3 linked regions of the Macaca mulatta genome follow. The protein of the gene in region 1 purifies or fractionates together with the protein of each later gene. This does not show direct contact. Links are inferred from orthologs where the notes say so. Each region holds a gene or a part of one and is shown in the gene's direction. Other genes may lie near its edges.

Evidence for each region.
Region 2: the proteins of CDK16 (region 1) and CCNY purify together in Homo sapiens (affinity purification with mass spectrometry; 3 studies listed by BioGRID and IntAct, counting the BioPlex papers as one, with this or other methods). This does not show direct contact. The link is inferred for Macaca mulatta from reciprocal best matches to the Homo sapiens genes CDK16 and CCNY.
Region 3: the proteins of CDK16 (region 1) and CCNYL1 purify together in Homo sapiens (affinity purification with mass spectrometry; 4 studies listed by BioGRID and IntAct, counting the BioPlex papers as one, with this or other methods). This does not show direct contact. The link is inferred for Macaca mulatta from reciprocal best matches to the Homo sapiens genes CDK16 and CCNYL1.

Annotation. Positions count from the first base shown.
Region 1 is NC_133426.1:47,253,426-47,258,384, forward strand, and holds the start of CDK16 (cyclin-dependent kinase 16), read left to right. Parts: upstream 1-1,650; 5' UTR 1,651-1,696; coding exon 1,697-1,912; intron 1,913-2,123; coding exon of another isoform or gene 2,124-2,152; coding exon 2,153-2,360; coding exon of another isoform or gene 2,361-2,387; intron 2,388-2,944; coding exon of another isoform or gene 2,945-2,981; coding exon 2,982-3,115; intron 3,116-3,214; coding exon 3,215-3,340; intron 3,341-3,430; coding exon 3,431-3,487; intron 3,488-3,584; coding exon 3,585-3,699; intron 3,700-4,361; coding exon 4,362-4,456; intron 4,457-4,554; coding exon 4,555-4,617; intron 4,618-4,868; coding exon 4,869-4,959. UniProt on the Homo sapiens protein: Protein kinase that plays a role in vesicle-mediated transport processes and exocytosis. Regulates GH1 release by brain neurons. Phosphorylates NSF, and thereby regulates NSF oligomerization. Required for normal spermatogenesis.
Region 2 is NC_133414.1:36,964,888-36,969,746, forward strand, and holds part of CCNY (cyclin-Y), read left to right. Parts: intron 1-742; coding exon 743-905; intron 906-3,793; coding exon 3,794-3,910; 3' UTR 3,911-4,859. UniProt on the Homo sapiens protein: Positive regulatory subunit of the cyclin-dependent kinases CDK14/PFTK1 and CDK16.
Region 3 is NC_133417.1:113,010,814-113,015,672, forward strand, and holds the end of CCNYL1 (cyclin-Y-like protein 1), read left to right. Parts: intron 1-547; coding exon 548-710; intron 711-2,989; coding exon 2,990-3,100; 3' UTR 3,101-4,026; downstream 4,027-4,859. UniProt on the Homo sapiens protein: Key regulator of Wnt signaling implicated in various biological processes including male fertility, embryonic neurogenesis and cortex development. Activates the cyclin-dependent kinase CDK16, and promotes sperm maturation.

The DNA of each region.
Region 1 (4,959 bases):
GCCTGAGCCCCCCCCATCCCCCTTTCTGGGAGTGTCATGTGATATACAGATTTTACACCCCATCTTCCTAAAATCCCAAGAAACTGAACTCCAGAGCATGTCCAGCCCTTGGGGTTTCCAGTTAGAGGTCATGGACCCATGGCTCCTCCTGGCTCCCTCCCCATCCTCCATTCAGCCCTACTTCCAGTCTCCCCCAGCCCCTCCCCTACTCCCTGTCGCAACATGCAAAGCAACTGGGTATCTGTGCCATATGGGGACACAAGGTTGTCTTTGGGAGCTGGCCATGCTTTACCTTCCTCGCCTTAGGCCCAGTATTCAGCCTCCCACGTCAGGATGTTTTGTCATTATCCTGGGTTCTCCATGGATGGACCTCATCCTGTATCTGAGGTCTTTCTGCTAGGGTGGCCCCTACCCCTCCTGGGGATAGTGAGTTCAGCCAGGTGGGGGTGGGAACTGCTGGGGGAAGCACCTGATTTCAAGGTAGCAGATGACCCATTTCTCTCCTCAAATCCAGCCCCAGTCTCATCCTCGACCTCCTATCTAGCTCTACTTCCCTTGGGCCCTGGGCCATCTTAGGCCCTGCTGTGAGTCCAGATGGTTCCTGGGCCAGGTCTTTCCCCCTCCTTGCTGGCCCAGAGCCCAAGAGGAAGCAGAAGACGGCTGGCCTAAGCCTTTTGGTGGCCCCATTCCCTTCAGCAATCCATCTAGGTCATCTTCCTGTCGATGCCAGCATCCCTGGGCTACCTTGTTTAGGGTTGTTCAATGAATAGCAGGGACTCATCACCTCAGCAGAGGTTGGTCCTAGGCCCTCAGCCCCCTGATTCACTTATTTCTGCCATAAGCACTTTTTGAGCATCTACTCTGTGTCAGTCACTATTCCAGGTCCTCAGGACATAGCCGTGACCTAAACACAGAAATCTACCCTGGCGGAGCTGATCTTCTAGTTGTGGCGGTGAGGAGATAGACAGTAAAGACTAAAGAAACAAATAAGTAGGTGGTGTCATTTCTGAGGAGGTAATGAGTGCTGGGGGGATAACTGGCAAGGTAAGGGAGCTCGGGATGGTTGAGATTTTAAATAGGGTTATTCATGGAGGCCTCATGAAAAGGTGACTTTTGAGCAATGGCCTGAAGGGAGAGGGGAGTGAGCCATTTCGAAATTTAGGGGAAGGGTGTTCCAAGGTACCAAGAACAGCCAGTGTGAAGGCCCCGAGGTGGGATTCTGCTGGGTGTGGTTGCAGAACAGCAAGTAAGAATGGTGGCAGGGCGGTTGGGGGGGGTGGTGGGCAGAGAGGTAATAGGGCCAAATGAGGTAAAGAAAGACCTGTGGGCCACATTGAGGACTGGGGTGTGTATTTGGGGTGATGGGAAACGTAGTACATTCTTGAGTAGAGGAGAAATGTGACCTGGCTTGTAAAAGCCTAGATTGGACCCTAGGGGTCCTAACCTGATCAAACCTTTCTGGCAGCCCTGAGAACAGCTGGTATACACTGAGATCCCCCCCTCCACACAATCCCACCCAGTGGGTGGGTCTGGGCAGGACACCCTGACACACACTCCCCCCCCCACCCACCTGGGTAGATGAATGGGATGATGCAGTGGTTGTCATGACGATGAGTGCTAGAGAAGTCAGGAGGAGGATCCCTGTGGCCACAGGGAATAATCTGCCTTGGCCTTTGAGGGTGGTGCCAGGAGAACTATGCCACTCTATGGGCGTGCTCGAGGCCATGTCACCCATCCTTCAATTCTGGGCACACGCCCTGGCCGACCCATGGCTGGGCCCATCACTGCAGCTGTACCTGAGAAGATCTGCTATGGAGCCTTCTGCTCCTGCAGTGGGGCTTTTCCCCTAGAGGCCAACAATCCATCGTTTGGGCCCTTGCCCTCAATCAGCCACCTAAATCTGAGAACTCAGGTGGGCTACTTAGGAGCAGGGTCCCAGTGGAGTTGGCTCTGTGGGTGGGCAGGTACTTACAAAGATCCCCGTCCATGTTGGGTTTCCAGAAATCCTGAGTGGCTCTGGGGTCCATATTGGTTGAGTGAGCACTGACAAGTCCATGTCAGTGCCCCCTGCTAGACTGTGGGCTTTAGGGGACCCATGGTGATCAAGCAAATGCTAATATGAGACCCATTTCCATCCTTGTCCCTTGCTCAGATCGCCATGGATCGGATGAAGAAGATCAAACGGCAGCTGTCAATGACACTCCGAGGTGGCCGAGGCATAGACAAGACCAATGGTGCCCCTGAGCAGATAGGCCTGGATGAGAGTGGTGGTGGTGGCGGCAGTGACCCTGGAGAGGCCCCCACACGTGCTGCTCCTGGGGAACTTCGTTCTGCACGGGGCCCACTCAGCTCTGCACCAGGTGGGTCCACTGGCTACCCCCTCTCCCATATGACCCCAGGCTGCTTCCCAGGTGTTGCCTCGTGGCCACATTCCTCATTTTCCTCTCAATTTTCTGCCCTTTCTCTGCCCCCCATGTGCTCTCTTCTCCGCCTTCCTTCCCATCTTCTCTCAACACCCTCGGTCTATCTGTCCATCTGCGCTCCTCTCCTTGCCTTTCTGCCCAGGCCCCGTTGTAGGGGGGCACAGGGTGCCTCGCCTGTCACAGTTGCCCCAAGGCTCCCTCTGCCCTTCTGCCCTCTGTGATGGCCTCCTCAGGCCTCTGGTACCTGCCTGCCCTGGGCCTGCCTTCCCAGGACCCTTGGCTTCCCCTGCCACCACCTAGCTACCAGCTCTGAGCTCAGCTTTCCCTTGGAAGGAAAGGTTCCACCAGGTGACTTTTGCCTCCCCACCCCCCAGTTCAACCTGTCCTAGATGGACCTGAGCTTCCCTGGGCCCTATCACCCTCTCCCCGAGGGACTCCAGGTTTCCTCTGGGGGCCATGTGCACACATGTGTGATGATGGAATATGTCTCATGGGGGAGGGGGTGTCCTGTGGTTTCTGACCCCACCTGGCCTGCCCTACCCCTCTCCCTGCCACCAGAGATTGTGCACGAGGACTTGAAGATGGGGTCTGATGGGGAGAGTGACCAGGCTTCAGCCACTTCCTCGGATGAGGTGCAGTCTCCAGTGAGAGTGCGCATGCGCAACCATCCCCCACGCAAGATCTCCACTGAGGTGCTTGACCCAGTCTGGATGGTGGAGGAGCTGGAAAAGGGGGTTGGACCTGGGGAGGTGGAACTCATGATCCTGTTTCTCTCTCGCCTTACCTGCTAGGACATCAACAAGCGCCTATCGCTACCAGCTGACATCCGGCTGCCTGAGGGCTACCTGGAGAAGCTGACCCTCAATAGCCCCATCTTTGACAAGCCCCTCAGCCGCCGCCTCCGTCGTGTCAGCCTAGTAAGCACCTTGTGTTCCTGTCCTCTCCTTTTTCTCCTCCTCTCCCAGACCCTTCTGAACTTGCTTCAACCTGCCTCATTTGTCCCACAGTCTGAGATTGGCTTTGGGAAACTGGAGACCTACATTAAGCTGGACAAGCTGGGCGAGGTGAGAGGCAGCTAGGAGGCCCATGGTGGGGATGAAGGTCAGTGGGAACTCCTGGAATCTCATAGCACCTCTCCTGTCACACTTCCTCACATTCCAGGGTACCTATGCCACCGTCTACAAAGGCAAAAGCAAGCTCACAGACAACCTTGTGGCACTCAAGGAGATCAGACTGGAACATGAAGAGGGGGCACCCTGCACCGCCATCCGGGAAGGTACACACCCCCATCCCATCTGCCCCAGGCTTCCCCAACTCACCCCTGGTGCACACACTCCATAATGAGAACAAAGACTGGTTCTGGGACCCCCCGCAAAACACTCTGGCTTTCATGGGAATGCCTGTTACCCACATATCCAGGTAATAATCAGGGTAACCAGGAATCTGTTCCCATTTGGATAAAAGGTGGATGAATTGCAAACCAGGGTTTGGTTCCGAGAACACCCCTGGAAGTGCTCACCAATTTATTTACTGTAACAATTTCTAGTCAGAATATCACATGGAATGAATTTGAATTGCACTGAAATTGAGTGTGCAAATTCAATTTCACATGATGCTGCAGGCCTGTGTACTGAGGGTTGGAGCCAGGCCCCTTCCCAGAAACCAAAAACAGGTTGTGAAAATCTAGTGTCACATGAGCCTGGGGCTGCAATCCCAGGTTCTTGCTCCATACTCTCCTCTGAGTCTTGTTTTCCACATCTGCAACATGGGGAGACAACTTGCATGAGGTGGGTTAGAGCTGGTGGCTCCGAGGCATTACCTTGAACTGTCTGGAGAAAGAAAAAAAACCTGGGCTTGTCCCTTTCTAGTCCTTGTCCTCACCTCTGTCCTGAGGGTAGGACCCTGACTCTTCCCGTCCCACTCCCATGCTTCCTGCAGTGTCCCTGCTCAAGGACCTCAAACATGCCAACATCGTTACACTACATGACATTATCCACACGGAGAAGTCCCTCACCCTTGTCTTTGAGTACCTGGTAAGGCTGGGTGGCACTGGGTCCCGGGGGGAGGTGGGGAGAAGGCCAGGAGCCGTAGGAAGTAACCCTCATTCCTGTACCACCTCTTCTTTCCTCAGGACAAGGACCTGAAGCAGTACCTGGATGACTGTGGGAACATCATCAACATGCACAACGTGAAAGTGGGTGTGGGGCAGGAAGCAGGGGCACAAGGGGGCCCCCACTCACCCACTCCAACCCACAAATCTCCCAGAAATGGACTTTTCCCTTTGGCTTTTTTTGCTAGGAGCCCTTGGAGGGCACTGGGACCCTGTCCTCTATTGTGTGACAAGGCTCTGGGCCTGGTGTCTGTGTTTGGGAGGGGAGCAGTGCCTGCTGGGGGTCGGGCTAGTGGATAGTCTTTGATCTCTGCCTGCCATTCCTGGGTCCCCAGCTGTTCCTGTTCCAGCTGCTCCGTGGCCTGGCCTACTGCCACCGGCAGAAGGTGCTACACCGAGACCTCAAGCCCCAGAACCTGCTCATCA
Region 2 (4,859 bases), on another chromosome or scaffold:
AGCCTCACCATCACCAGGGAACTCCTTAGAAATGCACATTCCCAGGCCCCACCCCAGACCTACTGATCCCCACAGTGTGAGAGTGAAGCCCCATGTCTGTTCTAACAAGCTCACCAGGCGATGGAGTGCATGCTCAAGTGTGGGAACTACTGCTTGCATTCTTCCCAGCTTGTGAGTTCTCTTTCTAAGAGACTGAGGCAGAGACTGGACACTCCCCCCCCATAATCCCTGCCTTTTGCCTAAGAAAGCGTATACACAGTTCCTCCCCTCTTTTCTCCCTGGAGGCAGGGAGGGGCCACCAAGGAAACCAAGGTCCTCTAGGTCTGCAGAGGCCGAGTGTTTTCCTCTGGGGCCCTGCCGAAGGACCCTCACTGGACTCTACATGGCAGCTCTTGGCTGCTCCATCCACCCTGTGTTAGCAGCCTGTCCTCACGGAGACCTGCAGCCAGAGCCTGCTATGTGTGTGTTAGATCTCAGTGAAGTGATTCACCCTGAAACCCTTCCTGGTGATGATCCCAATTAATCAGTCCTCATCCTGGGCACCAGATCAAGTGGATTTGGCTTTTAATCCCAATATGGTGGTGAGACTGCAACTCTGGTGTCCAGACAGACATTTAATTAGATCACTGGTCTCCCTGGTGGATGCAGTTTTCTGGACTCAGGTCTCCAGCAACTTGCCTTGGCAGGCCATGCGGCCTGGTGTGGTGGCTAAGCACAGGCTATTTTTGTCTTTGCTTTGCAGGAACGAGCTAGAGCGACAGTTTCTTGAATTGCTGCAGTTCAACATCAATGTTCCTTCCAGTGTCTATGCCAAGTATTATTTTGATCTTCGTTCTCTGGCAGAAGCGAACAACCTGAGCTTTCCCTTGGAGCCCCTGAGCAGGGAGAGGGCTCACAAGCTTGAGGTAAGATGCTTTAAAACAGCATTTTGTGGTGCAGTGTTGCTGATGCATCATCTGAGGACCAGGGATGTATGTGGTCACACTGATCATTTTCCCCACTACATGATGTAAAATAAAGATGAGCTACTAGGATATATAGCTGGGCAGTTCATTATAATTTGTCCTTCTTTTTTCTTTGAGACAGAGTCTCACTCTGTCACCCAGGCTGGAGTACAGTGGCGCGATCTTGGCCCACTGCAGTCTCTGCCTCCCGGGTTCAAGCAGTTTTCCTGCTTCAGCCTCCCAAGTAGCTGGGATTACAGGTACCTACCACCACACCCAGCTGATTTTTTTTATTTTTAGTAGAGACGGGGTTTCACGATGTTGGCCAGGCTGGTCTCAAACTCCCGACCTCAGGTGATCCACCTGCCTTGGCCTCCCCAAGTGCTGGGATTACAGATGTGAGCCACTGCACCTGGCCAACCGCTTCATATTTTTAATAACCAGTTTAATATCACTTAATAAACATAGTTTTTTTTTTTTTTTGAGATGGAGTCTTGCTGTGTTGCCCAGGCTAGAGTGCAGTGGCGCAATCTCAGCTCATCACAACCTCCACCTCCTGGGTTCAAGTGATTCTCCTGCCTCAGCCTCCCTAGTAGCTGGGACTACAGATGTGCGCCACTGTGCCCGGCTAATTTTTTTTGTATTTTTAGTAGAGACATCCAGGATTTCATTATGTTGGCCAGGCTGGTCTAGAACTCCTGACCTTGTGATCTACCCACCTTGACCTCCCAAAGTGCTGGTATTACAGACATGAGCCACCGCAATTCTATTTTGAAATAAAATATTTTTTAAAACCCTTATCTTTGCGGATAGGTTTAAAAAAATTATAAGTCCCCCCAAAAAGCATTTCCCACCATATAAGCCCCTCAAAAAGGTATTTCTCAACATGCACTTTTATAGGAAAAAGCTGCCAGATGATATTAACAATTGGGAATCCAAAAAGGTTTGATTCTGCTTTTGATTTTTTTTTCCAAAATATTTTTTCCATAGCCCAGTTAGAGCTGAGGGCAGCACCACCAGTCTTGGTCTGGGTTTTGGGCCATCGTTAAGCTGTGTAACTTTGGGTCTCATCACAGCATATTTGTATGTGCCTCTACCTCATATGCTCACCAGGCTCTTCCCACTTGACCTTTTGGCAGGAGGAAAAGGGATGGGGTGGTAATGAAGCAGGATCCCTGGGGAGAGACCCCTCCTCCAGAGAGGGTGTGCCCCAGCTTTTCCCCTCTGCACCTTTGTCCCCAGTCCTGCCTTGGTCTCATCCCACAGAGCCTTTCCAAGTAGTGGATGGCACAGTCGTGTTCCCAGCTTGTGAGACCCAGAGGTCTTCGTGCTGCCCATGCCACTGCCCATCCCAGGTGGGATGTTGTCACTCAGTGCAAGTTGGTGTGGCATTGTGATGGCCTGGCCACACGGTGGTCTAGAGCTGGGAGAAGAAAGCTGTTACGGATTACATGCTTAAGAAAGGAAAATGTTAAATAAAAATTTAAAAAGTAATATGTTAATTCCAAGAAGTAAACCATAGAAAAGACTGGATGCATAGCACTGGTTAGAAATAAAAATCCAGTGAGCATTTCAGAACTCAACCATGCCCCTGTGATTGTGTGCCGGCCTTTGGAATGGAAAGCCCACCCAGTCTCCCAGTTATCATCTATTCGAGGAAAAAATGGAAAACCCTCCCTCTGCAGGATTTCCTGCAAGGCAGATGTTGTGAAGCCTTCGCAAGCACAGATGTGAGGTAGAATCTGGCTTTCCCTGAGAGCGTGAGCCCCCTCTCAGCCTGTGCTGCGGTCCCTGGTCCCCCTCATCACCAGCCATGACTCCAGTGGCTACTTCAGTGCTGATGAGACAAGCCGGAGCTCCTGGCAGCTACACAGCTCTGCAGGGAAGCGAGTCTGTGTTCTCTGCTGAAGAATATATGGGGCTCTGGGTCAGCCACCCTGAGAGCACAGGCCCAGGTTGGTGGAGTTGGTACCTGCCGTTCCCTCTGTTAAGTTTCTGCGAGTACGGAGAAGGGAGAGCTCACCTGCTTCTGGGGCTGCTGTGCCACGGGCCCTAGGGTTTCACCGGGCCAGAAGAGAAGGCCAGTCTGTCCTGACAAGGCTGCTCTTTCTCTTCTCCAAATAATCAAAGCCTTCCCACGACTCAGACCATCCCCTCCTGGGACAGCGGGCTCAGCTTTTGTCATCAGCTGGTTCTAGCCACACCCAGTGGCAGCCCTGGGAGAGTTGTTCCCAGGGTAGCACGGCCCCTGTCCTCATCACCAAAGTGTTAATTATCTGCACATCTTAATGTTTTTGTGATCCTCCTAGGTCCCTCTTTCAGCAACCCTCTAGAGGTGACTTAAGTCCTCCATCCTTTTCTGTGGAGTCCCTAGCTGGTGGTCTGGCTGCAGCTCTCCTTGCCGACGGTGGCCGAGCTCTCCTCCTTGTGAGGCTCAGCTGCAAGCCTGTGCTTGACGCCAGCCCTGCCAGGATGGTGCTGTTCTTGCCCCGCTTGCAGATGAGGATGCTAAGGATTCGAAACAGCACCCGTGGGGGCAGGGCCGTCCCACACCCCGAGGGTGGGGAGCCAGCATTGACCCTGGTTGGGCCAATTGCAAGGTGACACTGTCCTGTTATTTCACATCCTGAGAGTCTTTTCTCAGACCGTGAGCTCTTGGGAAACAAGAGCTGAGTCTACACTCCCTTCATATCTTCCTGCGGCCAGCAGAGAGCTGGGCTGTGGGCTGGAGCTCCAGAGGGGCAGGGGCTCTGCCTGTCCATCATGCAGCACCCTCGGCGCCCAGGACGAGTGAGCAATGGGCGCAGATATGGCCCGCCCTGACCCACACTGTCTCTCTTGCCCCTCAGGCCATCTCTCGCCTCTGCGAGGACAAGTACAAGGACCTGAGAAGATCTGCGAGGAAGCGCTCAGCCAGTGCAGACAACCTGACTCTGCCCCGGTGGTCCCCGGCCATCATTTCCTAACTGCGGAGGCCCGCCGGAGGCCACACCATCCCTTAGTTTCTCCTTCAGTTTGAGAAAAGACAGACTTGGGGTGGGTTTGTTTTTGTTTTTTCTTTCCTTTTCTTTTTTAACGCATAGTTCCGTCAGGCTGCCTGGATGAGCGCCCACGCAGCAAGGCTTGGAGGAAGCGTCAGTACCCTGGAGGTCCCAGCTGGCTCTCACCACTGTCAGCAACAGCACTTCCTTTGTGGAGGAAGCAGACTCCAATCCTGCAGGAGGAAATAAAGGGAAAGGGAAGTCGTGGAGAGGCAGGGAAAATGATTAAGCGGCCCGGCCCTCTGGAGTCCCCGTGGGGGCGGTAGCTGAAGTTGGTGAGCGCAGCGGTGGATGCAGAGCTGGCTGCACCCAGGGCTGGACCGGTGTGTCCTGTAAGACTTCTTGCATTCCTTCTGCTGCTTTTTTGGGATGGGGGGGATTTTTGTTCGTTTGTTTTTGCCCTGTTTTGATTTTGGTCCCACAGAGCAGGGGATGTAGTTTGTACCCACCATGGCGCAGACTTCCAAATAAATAGTACTGGTCATTTCTCTCCGCACTATTTCTGCGCGCTGTCTTCTGAGCTTTCTTCCTCACCAGTGGGCTGTGCTCGTTCCATTTCTGTACACCCTCATTTTATACCGTTTTTCTTCAACAATGGTGAAATTGACTGTAGTGCTGAACCAAAAGTATCCCTTTCCCTCCTTATTCCTCACCCCAAGAGCATTCTAGATCACATGGGTGCTTGTGCCTTCCGATTTTCTTGCATTTGTTTTTTTCCTGACCTGAAGTTGTTGTTACAAAATCAGTCAGACTTCGTGGGCTGAAGGACACTGTGCAGCAGAGGGTGTCCCCGTGAGAGTTCTGCAGAGTGCTGGGCGTGCATCCGAAGCTACCGAGTAGGAGCCATTTCTTTGTACCCCTGCCTAATCCATTC
Region 3 (4,859 bases), on another chromosome or scaffold:
TATTTATTTGAGATGAATCCTTGTTGCCTCAAGGGTTTTTCCCCCTCAGAGATAATAGCAGTGGCTCTCGATGGATCCATTTGTTGCCGTGGTGATATGCCCACTCCTTTTGTTGGTGCTTCTCAACTTCAATAAGCCCCTTCCTGTTATCAGCCCGGTGAAAATGTCTGCAAGTTCTTCAGAGCTAATAAACAGCATACATCATTCCTTTCATCTGATCACTATAGTGGGGCCTTGTGAGTGAGCATGAAGTATGAATTGTACAGCTGCACTAATGGAACTCTGAAGAATGAGGCCCGAGTCAGCAGCACAAGTATATCAGAGGCCGTAACCTTCAACCTTCATCCCAGTCCCAGACTGCTGGGATGCAGAAGGGACCACAAGTAACTGTACCTTGTGTGAACATTAGTATGTTAATATAACTGGGTAGCCTATATTTTAAAACAGAGTTTAGAGCTATTCTAGTCACTCAGAATGATATTTTTGAAGATAGCCCACTTGACTGACATTGTCCTGTGCTGGTTCTGTTGTGTTCTTCCTCCTCCAGGAATGAAATGGAAAGGCATTTTCTGGAGCTTCTTCAGTTTAATATTAATGTTCCTGCCAGTGTTTATGCCAAATACTACTTTGACCTTCGCTCCTTAGCAGATGACAACAACCTGAATTTTCTATTTGCTCCTCTTAGCAAAGAAAGAGCACAGAACCTAGAGGTAAGGCTGTGAAGTCACTAAGTGGGGTTTTCCATCAGCCACCAAAGCCAACATCTGTGACTAAATCATATTAAGTAGTGATTAGGAAAATGGAAAGCTTTAAAATTAACTAACACACTGAAGAGCTTATTAGCCCTTTGGCGTCAGATTTCCTGTGTCTTTTATGGTTTAGACAAGGATCAACATTATTTAAAAATTATACATATTAACTCTTCTGTGACCATAATTCAGAATATTTTAAATCAAATTTAATCTGTTGTTCATGAGGCTTCCTTTTGAACTTCTACCCTTTCATATAACCATACATGAATAATTTTTTTAACTGGGCGCTGTGGTTCATGCCTGTAATCCTAGCACTTTGGGAGGCCGAGGCAGGTGGATCACCTGAGGTTGGGAGTTCGAGACCAGCCTGACCAACATGGAGAAACCCCGTCTCTACTAGAAATACAAAATTAGCCGGGCATAGTGGCACATGCCTGTAATCCCAGCTACTCGGGAGGCTGAGGCAGGAGAATCACTTGAACCGGGGAGGTGGAGGTTGCAGTGAGCCGAGATCGTGCCATTGCACTCTAGCCTGGGCAACAAGAGCGAAACTCCATCTCAAAAAAATATATATATATACACACAAAAAAATATTATTCGGGTATGGGAGCGCATGCCTGTAATCGCAGCTACTTGGGAGGCTGAGGCATGAGCATCGCTTAAACCTGGGAGGTGGAGGTTGCAGTGAGCCAAGATCGCAACACTGCACTCTAGCCTGGGTGACAGAGTGAGATTGTGTCTCCAAAAAAAAAAAAAAAAATGTTCTTTGTGACTATATTCCTAATTTTATCTACATACATAATTCATTTGCCACTCTTGACTGTCTTACTCTGTTTGTAAATTCATGTCATGGTTTACATATCACAGTGCAGTCCTGTGAGTTTTTTAGACAAAGGATTAGTGGGTAAGCCAAGAGACCTATACCCTTCACTAATATAGGGTGCAAGTGTTTCAAATGCTGGATGTAAGTGCTGGGCATGGTGGCTCAAACCTGTAATTCCAGCACTTTGGGAGGCTGAGGCAGGTGGATCACTTGAGATCAGGAGTTCGAGACTAGCCTGTACTAAAAATACAAAAATTAGCCGGGTGTGGTGGCGGCGCCAAGTTACTCAGGAGGCTGAGGCATGAAAATTGCTTGAACCTGGGAGGCGGAGGCTGCAGTGAGCCGAGATCATGCCACTGCACTCTAGCCTGGGCGATAGAGCGAGGCCCTGTCTCAAAAAAAAACAAAAACAAAAACAAAAAAAAGAAAAACAAATAATGTAGGAAGTACATGGGTTTTTTAATGGAAATGGTAACTTTATGGGGCAAAGTAATATTTATGGCTTATGACTCTTGGTGAGTATACAGCAGAATTACAACTGAAGTGGACACATACTTTAAACTGACACTTTCTGTGGCACCATGGTGGTACTTTAGAATAATATGTATTTCTAGACTGGGCTCAGTGGCTCACGCCTGTAATCCCAGCACTTTGGGAGGCCGAGGCAGGTGGATCACCTCCTGGCCAACATGGTGAAACCCCGTCTCTACTAAAAATAAAAAATTAGCCAGGTATGGTGGCACATGCCTGTAATCCCAGCTACTTGGGAGGCTGAGGCAGGAGAATCGCTTGAACCTGGGAGGTTTCACGCAATTGCACTCCAGCCTGGGCAGCAGGAGCGAAACTCCGTCTCAAAAAAAAAAAAGAAAAAAGAAATAATACGTATTTCTACCATAATTAACGTGCATGTGAAGTAACACCTTTTGGTGCATCAGTCATTAGACCTCTCATATATTCCAATATAGTCCAGCACATGCCTGCCTCATTAAAATGTGCTTTGAGTATATAATAGCTAATAAGGATTGGGTAGAATTTGAATAGCTGAATAAACTTATTTTTTTGCACAAGTGTACGTTTGTTATATTTAAGGGATAAGTGCACAGGTAACAGATGCTATTGCTGTTAGGAGCCTATCACAATACCTTTGACATCATTGGGAATCCAACTTCTTAATAATATAATAAATTCCCCTTTATTCTCTGGGAATCTAATCGTAGCCCTTAAAGGATATTACATTGGTGAATTGGCAGGAAGTAGTGTCCCCAGAACCTGGCAGTGTAAAACTCAGCCAAAGTAGCTGTAACTGTGAATTATGTAAAGGAGTCTACATGTGTGGCTTTCATCAGTGTGCTTTTTCAAATGTGGGAACCCTTTTTAAAATTGTACCTGTTTTCTATTTGATTGACTTTCCTAGGCTATTTCTAGATTGTGTGAAGACAAAGACTTGTGTAGAGCCGCTATGAGAAGGTCTTTCAGCGCTGATAACTTCATTGGTATTCAGCGCTCCAAAGCCATCCTCTCTTAAAGGGAGAAATGAGGGGATATAACGTCACGCGACCTTCTACAAAGACTGGAGAAATATCACCTTTCCTGCTCAAAAACCAGCAAAATTAGTATTTTCATCAAAAGGAAAGATCTCAAATTCAAGAGACTCATGGACAACAAGGATTATACTCCATAGGAAAGAATGGGACCTTGTCAATGCAACAGAACACACTTCTGATCTTTTTAATGTAAACAGAGTTACAAAAACCACTCCAAAGTGAAGGCTCCCATCCCACACACAGATATTTACTTACTGTGTGGGCCCGACAGCTGTGAACTATGTAAGGTTTTTTAAACAATAGTTTAAATTTTTAAAGACACTAACCATATAACTTTTATGTTTCTTCCCGTTTTTCTTCCTCCCCCCCATTTTGCTGCATATGCCTTTCAAATCAATGCAGTATTACCATTAAAACATGGGACTCTTCACTAAAGCCACTTAGGAGCAGACTGCAGCATTGTTAGGTATTGAAGGGTTCTTTCTCCCTTCTGTTACCATTGAAGCTGCTAGTCATTGGCAATCATTTTAAACCAAAAAGCTGCTGGATAACATTCGTCATTCATATTTTTTGCAAGCATTACTTTAGCATTTTAGCATGTTTGGGATCATAAACAGGAAGTATCAGTTATTGATATCTACTTCTATTGGGGTCCATGTTGCATTTCTTGTGAACTAAATGGTGCTTCTCATTTTCTGATAATTTTTCTCTTGTTAAATAAAGGTCTTAAAAGATTTTTTCGGCCGGGTGCGGTGGCTCAAGCCTGTAATCCCAGCACTTTGGGAGGCCGAGATGGGCGGATCACGAGGTCAGGAGATCGAGACCATCCTGGCTAACACAGTGAAACCCCGTCTCTACTAAGAAATACAAAAAATAGCCGGGCGAGGTGGCAGCGCCTGTAGTCCCAGCTACTCGGGAGGCTGAGGCCGGAGAATGGCGTGAACCCGGGAGGCGGAGCTTGCAGTGAGCTGAGATCCGGCCACTGCACTCCAGCCTGGGCTACAGAGCGAGACTCCGTCTCCAAAAAAAAAAAAAAAGATTTTTTCATAATGCCAACCAACATGGTGGTTCAGTGATGATGAAAAAAAGTAAAGCAGTTTTAAGCTTTAATATAGTTTGGGCCCTCCAGGGCACTGCAGCATGAGTATAAATGCTATAAACCTTTAAAAAACATCGTTTGAAAGTTTTTTTTTTTTTTTTTTTTTTGAGACGGAGTCTCGCTCTGTCGCCCAGGCTGGAGTGCAGTGGCGCGATCTCGGCTCACTGCAAGCTCCGCCTCCCGGGTTCACGCCATTCTCCTGCCTCAGCCTCCTGAGTAGCTGGGACTACAGGCGCCCGCCACCGCACCCGGCTAATTTTTTCTATTTTTAGTAGAGACGGGGTTTCACCATGGTCTCGATCTCCTGACCTTGTGATCCACCCGCCTCGGCCTCCCAAAGTGCTGGGATTGCAGGCGTGAGCCACCGCGCCCGGCTTGTTTTTTTTTTTTTTTTAAGAGATAGGGTCTTACTGCGTTGTCCAGGCTGGAGTGCAGTGGCTGTTCACAGGTGCAATCATAATGCACTGCAGCCTAGAACTTCCTGACCTTAAGCCATCTTCTAGCCTCAGCACACAAGTAGCTGGGACTAAAGTGCACCTAGCACTTGTCTCCTGAATATTAAGCTTTTAATTTTTTGTTTTGGTCACTCTTGATAGCAGACATTGACTGAAACAAAAAATTAAAAGTTTTATATTCAGAAT